Linked DNA regions of Danio rerio. The protein of the gene in region 3 interacts with the protein of the main gene of each other region in a pairwise test. Links are inferred from orthologs where the notes say so. Each region holds a gene or a part of one and is shown on either strand. Other genes may lie near its edges. The genes, in order: shc1, ptpn11b and igf1ra.

Region 1 (4,169 bases), on a different chromosome or scaffold from region 3:
AATCGTTTAAAAAAAAAAAAACATGACGATAAAACACGAATGCCGTTATGAATATATTAAACGTGCTTGTTTGTTGTAAAATTCTTAGTAAAAAAATTTGTAATGTCTTATCTAACATCTTAATGGCAAACAATATTAATTCATGCATCTTTTTATTTGCGTGTGCAGCCATGTTGCCATTTTAGCTGCTGTATTCTGTGAAAATATCTGTTTAAAGGGCTGTCTAACCATATGGCTTCAGACTAAAGAGACATGGGACACCCCTACACCTTCACATGAATGTGCAGAACAAGAGTTAGGGCTAAGGTGAAGGTTTTCTATGGTGTTTTGTACCGCTGGGTGGTCCAAGTCTCTCTGTGTTCTGTACCTCAGATATAACTGGTCCCTTGTTCTATTGAAATGTATGAGATTTCTTTGTCTGCTTTACTGTCTACCACTGCAGGATGCCTAATTAAAGGTACATATCATGTCCATTGCACAGGAAGTATAAAGACGTAATAAAGACATGACAAACATTGACTCTGAGGGTGCTTTCACACCTGTGAATCGATTCAGTTGTTCCGAAACAAAGATTACAAATGTTACATTGTTGCTCTTTGCTCTTGGAGCGGTTCGCTTTCACACTGCAAAGTTTCTAATCGGACCAAAAGAGCTAAAAGTCACATGCGAGTAAACTCTCCTCACATTGGTCAGAGTGTCAGGGTTTATTTTGCAGCGTCCCGCTAAGCTGTCAGGAGAGGTGGTGATTGACAGGGTGCGCGCGCACGACGTGTCTGAGGAGAGACGCGGTGGGGAGGGGTGACGCGAGATTACCGGGAGATCATCTCTCATTTGCGGGCATCCGGAGACTCGCGAAACTTCCCGCCATACTCATAATTCTCTCTTCTTCCAGGGTTCGTTTCAATCGAGCCGAGCCCACCTCATTCAAGCGATCTCGGAGCGATTACTTTGGCGCGGAACAGAGCCCTGTTCACATATGCCAATCGAACCGCACTAACTGGGCTAACAGGATACGTTCCGAAACAAAAGTGTAGGTGTGAAAGCACCCTGAGTTTAAAAAGTCTTATCAGGCAATTTGAGGGAGTAGTTTTAAATAAGTAGGCTAAAAATGAACATTTAAAGAGGCTATGGCATTCTGTGGCTAAAAGGCATTGCTAGCCATTTGTTGTGGTATTCTGGGTGCTTGCTATGTGCTAACATTGTTAGCATGTTAGTAGACTTGCTATCACCCTCTATCACCCTCTGCATTAATACTATGACGCCATGTTTAACTTGCTAATAGAATGTTTCAACACAATGCTAGACTAATTAAACATAATGCTAGTACATTTTGCCATACTGCTAGCATGTCGTATGCTATTTTGGCTTTGCTAGAGATGGATAGCATTTTATGCTAATTTTAGCATGTGTATTGGTGTTTTCAATCATCTCAGGGATCGTTCTTAACCACCAACAATGTGTAGCATCCACCTGGGCTGATGCAATGGTGCAAGTGGGCTCACCACACAATAGCTATACATGGATAGGAGAGAGTTATAGAGTCAGTTCACTCGAGGGAATTATTAAACTGAGGCCATGATTTATAAGTGCCAATGGAGGGATTTTGGCCATCCTTTACTCTCTACGAGGAGTTTTAATGACCACAGACCACAAGGACCTTGATTTTAGCCAAAGAATAGCACTACTTACAATACAGTGTCCCCATCCTTCAATGGCAATAAAACCCTCACAGAGCAGCCTTACTGGCCTCAGTATCAACAGTTCTAGAAGCAATCTAGAATTTTCAGGAGATCTCTTATATAGATGCTGACCATGGGCAGCCCTGCTTAACTTCATGGGCAACCAGTTCTTGGATATGGCTTTATTTTGTTCAATAATGTACACATTTTGTAAAGCGGCATTGGAATGATACTTGTTGGGAAAAGCTCCATACAAACACTTGAAATGAATTGAATCTTACCCTGACAGTGTAGGAGACTCCGCTGGTGCTGACCACAATGTCCGAGTGCAGCCAGCCTCGGGTAGGCTTGTTGACAAAGGAGCCATGCCGTGTCCACTCATCTCCGCCGAGCTGGCCCCCTTCCACACGGGCCCTCCGTGAGGCCCCGCCCAGCCGGTTCATATCCTGTGGGGGACGAGGAGGAGGAGATGGGGCTGTTAGAGAAAGAAGAGGAAGAAGACGAGGAGGAGAAGAGTTGACGGTCCCTGTGTCTTCCGAGGACTCTCCCAAACCTCCCTGGCTACCAGGCACATTTGCTGGCCTGCTGGAGGCCTTTAAGCCTGGGAGCAGAGTGGAAGACACACCCAGCCTCAGGGCTCCCATCCTGGGGAAGAAGGAGCATAAGGTGGTGGGGCTATTCTCAGCCTGCCGTGGAGAAGAAGGTGGCAGAATAGGGGTGAGGGAGGAGGAGGAGAGAGAAGGAGGGATGCCAGGAGGGGTGAGAGGGGTGAGAGGAGCTGAAGAAGGAAGGGAAGGATTGGACGCCGTCTCGTCTGTTGAGCTGAAGGAGTCACTCCTAAAGGGTGTGTACTTAGTTTTGGGGACAAGCTCCATGATGTCTAAGACGTCTCAGAGTCCACTAAACGTCCTTAAATGTCTCTCCACGTCGCTCTGTCGCAATCGATAACTTGTCTTTCCTTGTCTTTTATAGTCCTCTTTTTCTCTGCATCTACCGATTCCTTCATCATCACGCCAGACAGACGACAGTGTGCTGACTGTTCAGTCCGGAAAGTATCAAAAACAGGATGTAAAAAGAGACAAAAGGACAGATGCAAAAAAGTAATCAAGTTTTCTGCTGTTGTCATACACAGCCTGTAGAAGGTTTTGCATCAGATCTTAAGTCTGCATAGAGCTTCTCAGACACTACGAATCACTAAATATAGTACGATTGTCTTGAAGTTATTGGTATATTTATACATAAGTGCTCTAGACGCAATCCATCTAGGTAGATGTGTGAAGAAGAGTACTGTTGTGTTTGGTATGCATGCGAGTGTGTTTATGTGTGTGTTCATTTGTCTTTGCATGTGTAGGGCTCCAATCTACTATCTCTTGTCTGACAGAGTCCCATAAAAAGCCTATTAGCTGCAGCTGAGACTTTGAGAGAAAAGGCTTCCGTCAGACAGACGGATCGATAGAGTGAGAGAGGAAGAGAGCGGGAATAGATGGATGGAAAATGCTAAAGTACTGATCCAGAGAATGAGCATCATTTAATGATGATTCGTTCAATGATGACTTGACCAGCGCAGATCAACATAATTTTAGAGATTTAATTTAGTTCAGGTGTTAAAAAGATATACAGCAGGGATCTTCAATGGGGGTCCATGACGGCTTGTGTTGCCATCTCATGAAACAAACCATTTGTTGCTATGCATACTGAGGTTAAAATAGTGCAGCTAAATATTTAATTTTTCCTTCAGTCACAAAGGAAACATGCAAATATGACTCTGCATATTAATAATAATGATTTAAATGGGTTTTAGTTGTCAAAGTTTATTAATATTTGAACACAACTATCACTGACTAGGCTTATTTAATTTCATGCAACATCTCAAAAGGAGGTCTAGAACCATGTGAAGACCCCTGATGTACACAACCTACTACCTAAAATACAAGACATCAGAGTACATGCAGGCTTATTCATACTGTAAGTCTAAATCTGCCACCTCACTTCCTGTCACATATCTGCGAGTGCTTAGTGCTGACAGATCTCTATGTTTTCCCGTCACTCTCTGTCCCTCCTCCTCCAGATGATTTTGTGACCCCTGTCGCCAAGCCGAGCTCTATCCCTTTCCTTCTCCTCCTCTTCCTCACGTCTTTTCCAAATCACTTCTGGCTGCGCTGCTTTCGCACCCTCTGTGCTCGTCCCTTTAAGTTTATCCTCCTCTCTATCCTTCCTCTCCTGGAATCCCTCCCTCAGCCTCCACACAGTGTATCCCACAGCGTTCCTCCTCTCCTCCTCCAGCTTCTGCCTCTCCAGTTCTCTCTCCCTCTCCAGCACACTGGCTCTCTTCTTCCAAATAATCTCTCGCTCCCCCGCGCCCCCTCCCACGTCTTCTTTCCCGTTCTCCAGGCTGTCCTGTTACTCCTTTTTGCCTATTAAAAAAACACCTGAGCCTCTTACGTTTTTTTCTAATTAGCGTATTAATTTAACAAACTCAGGAAAACAACA
Region 2 (3,658 bases), on a different chromosome or scaffold from region 3:
TGGGCGATGGCAAGTTTTGACTTATGATATTGGGATATTTTTGATTGGCCATCAGGCTAGTTTTGGGGTATTTTGGATGGGCATTGGGTTTTATTGCAAAAACCTGGCAACCCTGATACCCACCTTCCTAGTATGTGCTATTACTAATGTGGCTATTGCGCCGGCTAGACCGACCACAAAGGTGAACATATAGTGCAGCAGACAGCTGAAAATAAATACCAATGACGGAAGTGACAGAGTGAATAAGAATCTAAAGATTTTTTTTTTGTATTTTTTGGTTTTCAGTCATTGATAGTGTTTTAAAATCAAATGTTTGAAGCATAATTTAGATTTAATTACATCAGAAAAAACATCTATTCTAGTGTTTATTTGAGTATGACCTTTAAATAAACTAATGGGTTTTTAAAATAGCTACATTTTTAAGGCAAATGAATGAATGGAGTTTTCAGAAAATGAATAAATGAATGAATGGACTTTTCATTAGAATTCTCTTTTTGTGTTTGGCAAAAGAAACTAATAGCATAAATAGCATATAGCATTTGAAGGACATCACAGGGAATAAGTATTGGATTTTTTTATGGGGGAAGGGGGGAGAACTGTGCCTTTAAGACCACATTTAGCAAAATAATTAAATAAATCTAAGTAGAACGTGTGAGCTGTGTAGTACCTGCAGTGAACCACTATGGGTCCGCTCTCTGGAATGGCGCTCTGGGTTCGGTTCACTTGCTCCAGGAAGCTCAACACTCCTCCAGGTTCATTTGGAACACCGTGATCAGGCCAACTCAGGTACTGATAGTGCCAGATACACCTGGGAGGCTCTCTCTGTAATTACAAAAAGTATTTATGTATGCATGTATGTATGTATGTATGTATGTATGTATGTATGTATGTATGTATGTATGTATGTATATATGTATGTATATATGTATGTATGTATTTATTTATTTATTTATTTATGCCATATCAGCAGTATGTCTATGTCAACATTGGAATTGAATATTAAGTTTATAATTTACAATCATAACTGTTTCTAAACAAACATGCATTATATAAAAACATATAGATATCACACTGATTAAAAGTCATGAGAGTTCTTTCATTTTGACCAATGATAAATAGGGTAAAATAGAAAAAGGAGACATCTTTTTAAAAGTTTCCCTTAAAAAAACGTTCTCTAATATAACTTGAAAATATACAGTACCTTCTATTAAAACATGTTTTATGGTCTAAATATTCGTACACAGGTCACAAATAGGTTTCTCTTCCCCTTTCAATGAATATGAATGAGTAAGTCCTGAGTGAATTACAAAAAAAAAAAAAAAAGAAACATCAAATGATAATTTACAAAATGAGAAAAACTACATCCAACCTAGATTAGTAATGTAAAGTAATACAGGTTTGAAGTAAGTGAGAAGATTCTCTCCAAGCTGCTACTGTAAACAACAAGGTCAAAGGTTATGAACTGCCTCTGGCTGCAGCATGTCATCTGTCATCGCATTGCTCTTACCCTGTCTAGACGTGTGACTTCAAGCTCTCGCCGTATGTAGTCCTGAGCTGTGTGTTCCTCAATGTTCTTCACACACACCTTCCCAAACTCCTTTGTTGAATTCAAGTCTGGCCAGTACCGCACACATTTATTCTATAGGGAGAAGTTCAATGTTTAGTTCCCAAAAAAAAATCTGTGTTGTCTATTTAGCTATACAACATTAGTGGATTCTCAATTTTCTCAAATTATGCATTAGAAATTTTTGGTATATAAGAAGAATCACATTTTTGTTCAAAATAATAATCATGTTTCATCCACGATTCTGAATTGACAAATTAAAGGAAAAGTTAAAAAGTTCCCAAATAGATCCCAAAATTTTAATTTTGCCATTATTTAGTCATCCTCCATTTTTCTGATGAACACAAGAGAATCTATAATAAAAAATGTTGGAAAACACAACAATTGACTTTCATAGTGTTTTTTGTTCCTACTATAGATGTCAATGGTTGCTTTTTTGCAAAATTCTTCATAATATCTTGCTTTGTGTTTAACAGAAAAAAAGAAATTCATTAAAGTTCATAATCAATTAAGTACGAGTAAATAAGGAGGAAACTTAATTTTTTTGGTGGACTTCAACAAAATGACATGTAATATACTAGAGATTTGGACACAATGTTAATTTAATTAATTCCCATCGGTTTGAAAGGTTGATTTAATCACTGGCTTATATAGACCTCACTTGTTTCATTACTGGATGAATCAGCCCTTTTGAATGACTCTCTTGAATAAATAAGTCAATGACAAATGCATTTTTAATAGTAACTTATCACCACCTTTTGGCGTAACACTGTAATTGATAAACATTATTTATAAAATAGTGTTACTTTAAAAAATATGAATGTCTATTTTGCTGTGCAATATTCAATAGTGGTTACATCAAAACTTTAATCCCAATACTTCTGCAATAATTTGACTAATAATCATACCATAAGGTTGAAGAGACCAAAGACTGACGCTGTTTCATAATTTTATGCCAACTGGGATTGCACTCGTCAGATGTTTAATAAATAAAACCAAATCATTGTGGCTGGAATATATAATTGTATGGGTAATTGAATCAAGATTGTCATCATTTAGCAGTTTTATGGTCAGTGTATTTAAAACTGATATGAATTCTGAATGAATTTCTCCCCCCAAAAATATAAATTACTTTTATTATCACAAATAATTAAGGAAATATAATTAAGAGCATAAAAAATATTTTTTTTTATAACAAATTGTTTATTTTCTTATATTCTATGTATCCCATGACAAACAATATAACATAATATGACAAAAAATAAAATAAAATAATATAATATAATATAATATAATATAATATAATATAATATAAAATAATATAATATAATATAATATAATATAATATAATATAATATAATATAATATAATATAATATAATATAATATAAATATAAATGTATTAATGAACGATCGAATGAATGAATGAATGAATGAATGAATGAATGAATGAATGTACAATATTTTCATCCTGGACCTTACCCGTCCTCTCTCCATCTCCTTGGTTGTCATGACAATAACATGTGTATTTTCCTGATAAACCATTTTCCAGAAGTCCAGGACTGTGTTCTGAAGGCAGCCCTGAGTAGCGATGAACACTTTACCTTCATCCATATGACGTCCTTCTTCATTCACGCTCTAAATGAAAAAAGAACAAAATCAATAAGGATAAAAAGAACATGCAATCTCTAAACTTATTGATCACAGCTCAACAACCCAGCAAAAGCTTGACATTCAGATTGACGTGTAATCATTACGAGCGAAGCGGGGTCTTACTCGGATATAGTTAGCGTTGATGTAATCGGATCCGGGAACATCAGGATCCGCTTCCTTGATCTGCACTCGAGTGGTGTCAACTGCAACCCAGAAAATGATGATCAAAGCATGAACAAGAGCCCTGGAGATTAACCGTTGCATTATGAAACATGCCTCTCCCATTAAGAAACCAGAAAAATACAGCACGTTACTCACATGGTAGTATATTCTTATATCTGTTCTTGTTTTTATTTTCTGGTCTCTGCCCCTCTTTCCTGGGGTAAAGGAGTTTACATTCTTGTTGCTGTAAAACCTGCAGAACCACAGGAGACAAAATAAA
Region 3 (3,658 bases):
CAACTCTCCTTGACACCCACACCGGGGAAGACGCACCGTGCTGCTCCTCGCCGCTTATCGCCGCCGGCTTTCATTGAAAATGAATGACTTCCGGCTACTTTTTCACTCTTGCCGCTTTCGGTATGATCGTACGGTAAATGATTCAATGACTTCCTCATGATTATAGTTCCTTGATTTGTTAATTGAACAGATCACCTGAAAATGTGTTGCTTCATTGACTCACCAATCACGTATCACGTCTACTGGTGTAAAGTTGTAATATTCAGAGTCACTGAAAATCACACTGACGCACAGAATGACAGTCACGAGTCCTTTTGCTTTTGCACTGTAAATCAGCACTTATGGACTGCCACACAGCCAATCAAATCTGAGGACTGTTGTGTAACTGTTAGCTGGTGTTTCTCATCATGACACATTCCAGCTCAGTTTAAGCCTGCCACAGATGGACCGTGGCTTCTCGTTGGGCCTGGCCCGACTAGATGCTTCCCAGGCTAATAGTCCAAACTGCAGTCCATCTGCTTGCTAGACTTTTTGGCTTCATTTCTCGCTCTGCTCGTCCTCTCCCCCTCCTCTCCGCCATCTAAATTCCCTCAACAGTATCAAACAGTAATAATATTTAGCTGTAGAGAGTCCAGAGCTGCAGTTTACTAATAAGACTGGCACACAACAGCGCCAGGCCAAAACCCCTGCATCCTGACTTCACACTGGGCTTCCTTCTTCTCCTCTGTACTCTGCTTCATAACTGTATACCCCAGCCATTATTATTTTATAATCAACTAATCCAATAGCTAGCAACACACACACAGACATATAAACCCAAATTGTACTTAGTTTTCTACGCATGTCCTAGAATAAGCATTCAGTGTTAATAAAGCTATCAGAACAAAACACGTGTAGTGTATGCAATATGGAAGGCCATTAATGCCAAAAGTCTTTAACGGCCCGTTTACACTGAGTGGTACAGTACAGTATGTTACGGGTCACCTTTATCAGGCTTGCATTTCCACTGCTAAAAGGGTACCAGTGGTATGAAATGTCTAAGTAAAGCTGTATAGGTTGTTCATATATCATATGAGAAGCACTTCTCGCAAAACAGATGCTTTATACACATAAATACTCGTGTTGACCATGGCTTGTTATTACATGTATATATGTAATGTCTTGGTTGTGTATTTAAAAATGGCACTTTCTTTGTTTTCATTCTTCTGGCTTGTGCATGAGCTAGAGACGTATCTCTTTAAACCAATATCGCTAAGCTGTGTGTCTCACTTCGCCTTTTGTTACTCTTTTGTTGTGCTAAGTACCCTTTTAAAAGGGTACCCAAAAAGTGGTACGGTACTTCTAGGTTTTTGGTACCTTTTGACTGTAGAAATGGCCATAAAAGCGTACCGAACCGTACCATAACATATCATAAATGTAACATTAAAATTCATGTCAACATGCATGTTTTGACTATGTTAATGTTATTTTGAATGTTTCTTTAGTGTTTGTTAGGGCTGCACGATACATAAAATTACATTGCAATATTTACTTTTTCTGCAATATATATTGCGATATGAATGTAATTTATCAAAATATTTAAAAACTCAATTTGTATTCAATTCATTATTGTACATAGATTGGGATCATATTGTAGGGGAGTGGATCTGCATAAAATACCTTTTAAAAGTCCAAAAATGTATCAAATAAACAAATTAAAGCACGGATGAAAACAATGGACCAATTCAATATGGTGATGCCATTGGCCCATAAACATTTTCTTGCTTGTTATCAAACTATTGTATAACTGTAACAAGTTTTTTAGGAGTGACCTGTTCAATCATAACCTCATGTTAAAACAGTTATCATAACATTATTTATCAATATGCGACTCTTTTTGGATTTCTAGAAGAAATAAAAATTAAAAATGTAAAACAGGAAATACATTGGGACCATTGTGAGTCTAACAATATTGAGGTACAGCTATTCAGTAATTAAATGCATAGATCCTGCGATGTAACTTGCAGATTTGCATACTGCGATATCGATTAATGCTGAAAAAATGCATAGAAATGCAGTTATACCAGCTGATATTTGCAGATGAATCAATATCTGAAATTTTGTACATGTATTCAGAAGGACTGTATTTTTGCATCACATATGGAAATTTGTCAAATACTGGAATTTCATTGGCCGTTGTGCTTGTCTACATGATCGTACTGCATGCTGGCAATCAAACTTTTGACCCTGATGGCCTTCCGTACATGACAGTTTTTCTCTTATACAAGTTCCTAAATTGCTTAATAAATTACTAATCTTACAGTATAACTGACTTTTATCTGGTTTACGCCTCAGGAGGTTTTTAAAAATGTTAATTTTAGGATGTTTCCTTGTATACTAAAACTGACATTTCTTTTGTAACAGCAACTGACGTGTTCTCTTTATTTGTGTTCTTCTTTTCCAGTGTGTCCTAAGGAGTGTGAGAAGAGAGCGTGCACGGATGCGGGCCAGTGTTGTCACCCCCAGTGCCTGGGCAGCTGTACGGAAGCAGACAATGATAAAGCATGCGCCGCCTGCCAGCATTACTTTCACGAGGACCGATGTGTCGAGGCCTGCCCGCCAGATACCTACAAGTTTGAAGGATGGCGCTGCATCACTATGGAGATGTGTGCCCGTGTTCACCTACCCAGCGAGGTGGACTTCGTCATTCACAATGGAGAGTGTATGCCGGACTGTCCACCCGGATTCACCCGAAATGAGACTCAGAGGTACGACACTAGAAATGCCTTATTAGATGCCGGTGTCAGTAGTGTTTCCTTTACTGTATATAGTGATGCTGCCGTGCCATTTAAACACAGAAAACAGCAGGGGTTGTTGAGTGCGTGAAGTGTCCATCATTACACATTTCATTTTACCGGTTGAATAAGTGCATCATCTGGGTATTTAAAGTGCACTTTTTTGAGGAGGGGGGGTTCTCAGTGTGAACGCATTACTTACGCTGTTTTTACTACAAAATGGCATAGAATAGTGCTTATTTATGCTACTTGGAATGCGCCTAAAAACGTAGGCGTACTACATTCGCCATTTTATCATCATCACGTGACCTACCCATGGCAGTGTCGTCGCTTCACTCCTGTTCATGAATTCGCTCGCGATGCATCATGGGATAGCATAGCCATACCTGTCAACATTGGGATGTAAAAATAAGGGATATACCCACCATTATAAGGGACCCTAACCCCATGACCTCACCCCCCACCACCAAAACACACACACAAACACTCTTCAGAGAAACACTCAAAATACGGTAGAAATACAGGAAAATACCTTTACAGGATAATAGCGAGATAGAACACGGGAGAATCCTGGGAAAAACGGGAGGGTTGACAGGGATGAGCATAGTGTCCAACTGATGCGCACTTCAGAATCTCACCTGTAGTAGGTCATCTGGGAACTTCTCACATACTGTTTTTTGAATGCTATCAATTAAGACATACTATTTGCCTCGCATACTGTTTTAAGCATACTACATAGTATGGAAGTATGCGATTTCGGACGCAGCTTATGTAAAAAATTAAATGTAGCTTCTTTTTTTGGAGTTTTGAAAAACATAAGAAATTATTAATGTGACATTTTTATTTATACTGTTGTATTAGAATCTACGAGCAGAAGGTTTAGA

The links.
Region 1: the proteins of igf1ra (region 3) and shc1 interact in a two-hybrid assay, tested with the Homo sapiens proteins (4 studies listed by BioGRID and IntAct). The link is inferred for Danio rerio from reciprocal best matches to the Homo sapiens genes IGF1R and SHC1.
Region 2: the proteins of igf1ra (region 3) and ptpn11b interact in binary tests that used the Homo sapiens proteins (3 or more experiments, as listed by UniProt). The link is inferred for Danio rerio from reciprocal best matches to the Homo sapiens genes IGF1R and PTPN11.

Annotation. Positions count from the first base shown.
Region 1 is NC_133191.1:24,126,374-24,130,542, forward strand, and holds the start of shc1 (SHC-transforming protein 1), read right to left. Parts: upstream 2,905-4,169; 5' UTR 2,555-2,904; coding exon 1,961-2,554; intron 1-1,960. UniProt on the Homo sapiens protein: Signaling adapter that couples activated growth factor receptors to signaling pathways. Participates in a signaling cascade initiated by activated KIT and KITLG/SCF.
Region 2 is NC_133198.1:26,921,036-26,924,693, reverse strand, and holds part of ptpn11b (tyrosine-protein phosphatase non-receptor type 11b), read right to left. Parts: intron 3,632-3,658; coding exon 3,535-3,631; intron 3,420-3,534; coding exon 3,340-3,419; intron 3,202-3,339; coding exon 3,046-3,201; intron 1,640-3,045; coding exon 1,508-1,639; intron 823-1,507; coding exon 668-822; intron 1-667. UniProt on the Homo sapiens protein: Acts downstream of various receptor and cytoplasmic protein tyrosine kinases to participate in the signal transduction from the cell surface to the nucleus. Positively regulates MAPK signal transduction pathway. Dephosphorylates GAB1, ARHGAP35 and EGFR.
Region 3 is NC_133193.1:22,311,134-22,314,791, reverse strand, and holds part of igf1ra (insulin-like growth factor 1a receptor), read left to right. Parts: intron 1-2,443; coding exon 2,444-2,747; intron 2,748-3,658. UniProt on the Homo sapiens protein: Receptor tyrosine kinase which mediates actions of insulin-like growth factor 1 (IGF1). Binds IGF1 with high affinity and IGF2 and insulin (INS) with a lower affinity. The activated IGF1R is involved in cell growth and survival control.